2 linked regions of the Bombyx mori genome follow. The protein of the gene in region 2 purifies or fractionates together with the protein of the main gene of each other region. This does not show direct contact. Links are inferred from orthologs where the notes say so. Each region holds a gene or a part of one and is shown on either strand. Other genes may lie near its edges.

Region 1 (3,824 bases), on a different chromosome or scaffold from region 2:
AAAAAATTACAATTATAAGTGTATGGTTTAAATATGATAATTTAAAGCATGATTTCAAATAAAAAAATTAATGTACAAAATAAATCATTAACCTATTAAACATCAAAATCGATGACAATTTGAAATTTTCAATTTTAGGAGACCTAATGAATTTCGGACTTTAGATTTGAAATCGTTTTGCTGAAGTGGGAGGTGGTAACATTTTGTACAGAATCAACTTTACTAAATTAACCATTTGCTTCATATAAGAATATACCTTCATAAAGGTATATGTTTAATTCTACTACTGTTTAAATCTTACTAGTGGGCTTTCAACAAATTAACTACTAATACCTAAATTATTCTAATAGCTGCCACTCGTCTAACCTAAGTCGAAGCAACATCAGGCACTTAACTTGTCAAGTTGTATAGAAAAACTTGTAGAGAGCTCATAAAATCGCTACTAAAGAAGGAATGTCTGGACAGTCTTTTTAATGAAATACTTTTGTAACTAATACAGAATTATGAATACTAGATACTTTTATGTATTTAACGTGTGGAAAGCAGAAGTAAATAACACAGTCTCTGTGTATTAAAAAGTGTTCGTCGAATAACGACCAACTAGGGTGGCGCCACCGTAGCGTTTGGTGTGATTTCTAAGTAACGTCAAAATTTATTATACCAAAATATTTTCAGCTTAACGCGCTTCACTCCGTTTATGACAGCAACATTCAAATCACACACCACTCGCAACACCGGTGGCGCCTTTGGTGGGTTTTGAAATGCTAATTTGTTGCTTACGATTGGACACTTTTTAATGTGTCCATCATAAAACACAATTCTCGTTATCTCTACTCTCCTAATTTGACGTAATGAAATAAATGTAGGTATAATTTCAGCTGCATTTAACTAATGTCAAAATGACATTGACAATCACTCAGAGCATGTCATGTGCCTGAAAGGCCAAGACATCGAGCGTCATACCAGCCTCAGCCCGTCTCTAGCGTCGTACTCCTCCTGTCAAACTGACGTCTCCGAATTGAGCCTGAGCACGAACCTGTTGCTCTTCGGGTCAACGACTTCCTCAGACAAGCTGAATTTAGGTAGCTGTTTTATAGAACATATTAATGAAACGTCACCTTGACGGAGTTGGAAGTCGATGTTGTGGGCAATAGGTCGCGCTAACAGCTCGTCGGAGATGAGCGACCAGCGCTGCAAAGGACGAGTCTCGTGGTCGGCAGCCAGAACCGGGCCTTCCACTAGGAATGGCTCGAGGAAAGCACGAGGTGACGCATCCTGGGATAAGCAGCGAGCTAGATGGGCTAAGACCTGTGGATTTGAAACTTGTTGATTAACATTAAAACACTGAAAATTATTAGAAAGCTTGTTAGAAAAACTTAACATTAACATGCTGTGGTGCTATTCGGAAGCTGTTACCGATTTAATTTAAATAATTATGTACCAATGACATGTAATTTCAAAGACCGCGCGCGGTGATATAATGCAAATAAAATTACTCTCATTTGGCATGAGTTAGTGTTATCCTGCCCGTTTCAATATCAAGACTTCAAAGTTCTCTCAATGTGGGTATTTAAGGAATTTAAGGCAATGCATTTAAGAAACATTAATCTGAATATTAAAACACTAAATATGCTTACCCAACTAAAGCTTTTTAATCAATAAGATGTATGTAAAAAATATAGTATGTACTAACTGAGTCAGCAGTGTGTCTGGGCTGTTGCCTGGTGGCCCGGAGATACTTTTGCAGTGCCCGAGCTAGGGAAGGGAATACGGCCTGTGCAGCCTCGCGGGGACCCAGCGCTCCCCCTGAGAACATATCATCCGTCCGTATTACTATTAGTGTTATGGCTGTGGCTCTTCCACCTCCACTCCACTTTCGCTTGAAACCCAGTGGTCAAGTTTATTTTGAAATTAAAATAAGACTGTTCAATGACATCTGAATTGAAATAAATTATTTGGAATTTGAGTTCGAAACCTTGGACACGCTGTTATTTCAAAATGTAGAATTATATACAGAGAACGGATGGAGGAACATTAGAAGGGGCTCGGTGTCCATAAAATCGAACATGAAGTTAATAATTAGCCTACAACAGTTTTGGCTAGCATTTTATAAAACCTATACGAGGGCTGCACTAAAAGTATCGGGAATGGAATATTTCCACTGTTCCTGTCATATTAAAATCTTTTTAATTGAAAACTCCTTGGTTTTAAAAATCGAATACCATTTATTTATTTAAAAAAAGATTCTCGGTCTTGTCACGAGGTTTTGTCAAACTTGTTTAGTCGTTGAGAAAATGGAATTGACTCGAGAAAATTCAAGAGCGATGATTTATAATGACTTTCGAAGTGGTTTAACACAAAAACAGTGTGTTGACCGGATGATTTCTGCATTTGGTGATGAAGCCCCATCCAAAATCACAATTTATCGCTGGTTTGCTGAGTTTCAACGTAGACGTGTCAAGCTCAGTGATGATCCCCGTCAAGGTCGTCCAAAAACTGCAGTCACCCAAGAAAACGTTGATGCTGTGCGTAAGCTGATTGAGGAAGATCGACATGTGACATACCGCGAAATTCAGGCAACTTTAGACATTGGCATGAGTCAAATACAAATAATCTTGAATGAACAATTAGGTGTAAAAAAGTTGTTTTCCCGATGGATACCGCATTCGCTCTGTGAAGAGCAAAAAGCAGCTCGCGTTACTTGGTGCGTCAGAACTCTCGAAAGATTCCACGCAGGATCCTCAAATGCTGTATACAACATTGTATCAGGTGACAAATCCTGGATATACGCGTACGAACCCGAAACAAAAAACCAGTCACGAGTTTGGGTGTTCCAAAATGAGTTAAAGCCAACAAAAATTGTTCATTCACGGAGTGTTGCAAAAAAATGGTGGCCACGTTTGTCTCCAAAACCGGCCATGTTACGACTATTCCTCTTGAGGGACAAAGAACGGTTAATGCAGAATGGTATGCTAGCATTTGTTTGCCACAGGTCGTTTCTGAACTCCGTAAAGAGAACTGCAACCGCCGCATCATCCTCCATCACGACAATGCGAGTTCTCACACCGCGCACAGAACAAAAGAGTTTTTAGAGCAAGAAAACATAGAATTATTAGACCATCCGCCGTATAGCCCCGACCTAAGCCCTAATGATTTCTATACTTTCCCTAAAATAAAGAATAAATTGCGTGGACAGAGATTTTCATCACCTGAAGAAGCTGTGGACGCCTACAAAACGGCCATTTTGGAGACCCAAACTTCCGAATGGAATGGTTGCATCAATGATTGGTTCCATCGTATGGAAATTGTGTCAAATTTCGCGGAGAATACTTCGAAAACCAATAAATACATTTTTAAATAGTAATGTTGTGTCACTTCGTTAATTCCCGAAATTTTCAGTGCCGCCTAGGTACTCACCATTGGCAGCAGACAATCTGACTCTTCGGACGTGTGCAAAAGCATCATCCGCAGCCGCCAACAATCTGGCACGTCGCTTCCTGACTCGTCGCTCTCGTTCTGCCTCCTCGTGGTAGCGCTCGTTGTGCGCGGAGACCGACTCCCGACGCCGACCACTCCCGCTTCCGGCACAAGAACCGGCTGTCGATCTGTAATTTAGGGACACTAGTTTTATTCAGCAGATAAACAGACATGTCCCATGGTTTGGCCAGTGTTAAATTTGCAACTCAAAAATAGTTCATTTCAACATTAGTTTTTCCAGGAATCAAGAGTTGCTTGTTGTACTCTCTCATCCATATATATTCCTCTCATACATTCAAATTTTAAATGAATTGATATGTGAAATAACAAACCATTCATTGACTTTA
Region 2 (3,824 bases):
ATGACCACATTTTTCGTGTGCCTAAATAAAAAAATAAAAAAACTATTACTACTAGTTCAAGTGAGTTCATATAGAGACTCTAGAGGTCTTCGACCCCACGTCTTGGTCTATTTTTAATTGTTACATTGCGTGTTAGAATTTTTAAGTGTGTGCGTGCGTGCGTGTGTGTGCGTGTGTGTGTGTGGGTGATCAGCTGATCGCTAATCAGCGCGCAGTACACTGACCGTTATAGGAAGAGCACAGGCCTGTCGGCGGGCCGCGGCGAGGAGCGCGAGCCGGACGAGGAGGACTTCCTCTCGTCGAGCGTGGGCCCCCCGGTGCCACCCGGACCCCCGCCGCCCCCCGCGCCGCGCTCCGAGCCCCCACTCGAGCCCCCGCTGCCCGACACCGCGGACTCTTCTCGGTTGTACCTGACGACAGAACGTCAACATGACCATTGAGGTAGGCCTTGACTATGTTACTGTCGTCTATCCTGCTCATTCCTGTAGGCTCTTTCTCTCTCTCTCTCTCAGCGTGCCACACACTAACGTCCGTGATATTGATTCATTCCTAATATCCATGGAGCTATGAAGGGTAGAGGTAAGGAGTAGCAACTGGGTAAATTTAAAAAAAGGCTAAAAACTATTAGAATAAGATAGAGAAATAAAAAAAGGACGAAAGAACTATAAGCAGTACAAAATCACAAAAAGTATATTATTTAAAGCTGATAAGAAAATGCAATCGATGTCTCCGCGATTTACCACAGCAATAATTTTAGGTTATATTGACGAAATTAGTTTGGACTACGTAAACATGCGAGGTCTTGTATATTACACTGTCACTAACTACTCTAGTCATTAAATATATTAAATTTCCTTCAGCATACTTCAATCAGTTAACAACTGCTCAATTCATATCACACCCTGTGCCTATGGTAGCGCCATTCTGGAGGATTTTTGAACTGTTATTAAGTGCTGAAAGTGGGACACTTTTTCAAGCATCTCCCATATGAGACGGTTCTCCTTACCTCTACGAACTACTAAGAACCATCTCAGTGTATTAAAAAGTGTCTGCTGAAAGATGGCGCCACAGTAGAAAGTGGAGATATTTTAGAAACGCGCCATAAGTTATCACCTTTCACTCTGTTTAAAACTGCTATATCCATATCATTTCCACTTCCTACTATTAGATGGCGTTCTTAATTCTATTTTTTTATAGGATTTTATGACCTGGTAACTAAGACTTTTAGGTCAAGTCTGATTATAATTTCAATGATTTTTTTTTATGAAAAACTAGCTGTACCCATCTGCTTCGCTGGGCATTTAAATTTAGCTTTATTATTTCTCAACCCCACAAAGATTCTCATCATTAACGTCCCCGCAACTGGTGTAGGGAGTCCAACACTCATATAAATATTAGCCTATCCATTAAGTACGTGTATTTTCTACATGGATACCAAGTTTCAAGTCAATCGGATGCATGGTTCAGTAGTTATAACGGAACATCCGTGAAAACCGCTGTAGATTTATATATTAGCATAGATGACATGTTCAGCGGCTTTGTTTCATTTTCCCACATTTGTGCACTTCCACAGATACAGTAAACAGTTAATAAACCACCGTTATTACACTTTTAAACCCGAAGAAACCTAAATAGACAAAATAAAACAAATCACACAACTTCACTCCTCGCGTTCCGGCCAAAAAGTCCTCTTAATTCTACCCTTCATACTGATATCAATACAAAACAAACACAGCTTAGCTGAACCGGCATGGTGTTTATACGTATGGCAACATTTTGCCTCCACTCATTCCTCTCAACACTTAACTCACCCGTATATGGTGTGTTCGCTGTTGGCACAGGAATACTTGAAGGGTATGGGCTGGTAGCCATACGAGCCCGCATATGGTACGTATCCTGGGCCCATGAGGCTGCGCAACAAGGAAAATTACAATTAAAACATGTGACATGTGTGGGTTCATTGTTGTTATCACTGGAGTACGGTCTAATTCTACTTAAATTGTCATTCCAACACACCCTAAGACCCTGGATCTGAACTCTTTCTGATGTTTCTAACTAATGTTCTAACTTTCTAATGTTCCCTGAACATTATGACGGATTCTTAGTAAGTCTCATGACGGTGCCAATTGGTGATAAATCAAGAGTGCGAGTGAAGTCGTCGTGGCCTAAAAGATAAGACGTCCGGTGCATTCGTGTTGAAGCGATGCACCGGTGTTCGAATCCCGCAGGCGGGTACCAATTTTTCTAATAAAATACGTACGTAACAAATGTTCACGATTGACTTCTACGGTGAAGGAATAACATCGTGTAATAAAAGTGAAACCCGCAAAATTATAATTTGCGTAATTACTGGCGGTAGGACCTGTTGTGAGTCCGCACGGGTAAGTACCACCACCCTGCCTATTTCTGCCGTGAAGCAGTAATGCGTTTCGCTTTGAAGAGTGAGGCAGTCGTTGTAACTATACTGAGACCTTACAGCTTATATCTCAAGGTGGGTGGCGCATTTGCGTTGTAGATGTCTATGGGCTCCAATAACCACTTAACACTAGGTGGGCTGTGAGCTCGTCTACCCATCAAAGCAATAAAAAAAAACCTATCCTTATTCAAATCAATTTCTAGAAAACTTCACCAGTAGCCAGCTGCTTTGTTGCTGTCCATGGACGACGACAACTACCGACTATCATTTTTATTGCTTAGGTGATGGACATCAGCAACACAAAAGCGGCCACCCGCCTTGAGACACGAGCCCCAAGTATCACTATAGCTGCGGTCTCCAACGGCAATGTACACAATGAGGTCCATGCACCGACCCCGGGTCCGGGAGGGGCTTGACGTCAGCGTCGTCAGCACGTATCCTGAGCGAGGACAGCTCGCCGCCCAGCCAGCCCGCGCCCGCCACGTAGTAACACTGCTCGCTGAACGTTATCTTGTTAACTGTGTGCCTTATGAAGCCGGCCTGGAAATAATACATGTATATTTATTTATTTTCATTGGCAGACTTAATACCTAAGGCATTCTCTACCAGTCAACCAAAGGTAGTGCAGAGTGAACAGCGGTAGGTGCAATGAAATTTATATTAAGTTACAAATGCATACACAAAAAAAAAGTATATGCGACAATGCGTGAACTGTACAGTAGACTAATTTAAAGTTGAAATACCTGAAACAAAATTTATTTTAACGAATCTAGCTATAGTAGAATCTAGCTAGTAGCTGTAGGATTGAAATGATTTTAATAGACCTAGAAATATATATTTTTTGCGCATCGAATATGGTTATTGCCTATCATTTATGTACAAAGCAGTTATTGTCGCTTAGTCATATTTGCCTTTCAAGCGTCGATATATACATATACATAAATACACAATCACATATACATACATACATATTACTCTAGTTTATTATGTATAGTATATTATATAATATTACTATATTCGAGTATATTATTACTCTACAAAAAATATTTGATTTGTTCAAGTCAAATGTCACTACAAATGTTGTACGGTTTAACCAGTTTTTTTTGTTGCACAAATGTCATTTATTTATTTTTATAGAAAAACTAGCTGTACCCACCCGTCCGCTTCGCTGGGAATTTTAAATTAACATCATCATTTCTCACCCCCACAAAGATTCTCATCATTAACGCCCCCGCAACTGATGTAGGGAGTCCAGCACTCATATAAATATTAGCCTATCCATTAAGTACATGTATTTTCTACATGGCTACCAAGTTTCAAGTCAATCGGATGCACAGTTCAGTAGTTATAACGGAACATCCGAAAAAACCAGTGTAGATTTATATATTAGTACTAGCTGACCCGGCAG

Evidence for each region. The genes of interacting proteins can lie anywhere in the genome.
Region 1: the proteins of segment polarity protein dishevelled (region 2) and vang-like protein 1 purify together in Drosophila melanogaster (affinity purification with western blotting; 3 studies listed by BioGRID). This does not show direct contact. The link is inferred for Bombyx mori from reciprocal best matches to the Drosophila melanogaster genes dsh and Vang.

The regions. Positions count from the first base shown.
Region 1 is NC_085129.1:14,695,934-14,699,757, forward strand, and holds part of vang-like protein 1, read right to left. Parts: intron 3,606-3,824; coding exon 3,418-3,605; intron 1,807-3,417; coding exon 1,694-1,806; intron 1,309-1,693; coding exon 1,000-1,308; 3' UTR 1-999.
Region 2 is NC_085130.1:18,587,761-18,591,584, forward strand, and holds part of segment polarity protein dishevelled, read right to left. Parts: intron 2,957-3,824; coding exon 2,811-2,956; intron 1,911-2,810; coding exon 1,812-1,910; intron 411-1,811; coding exon 227-410; 3' UTR 225-226; intron 1-224.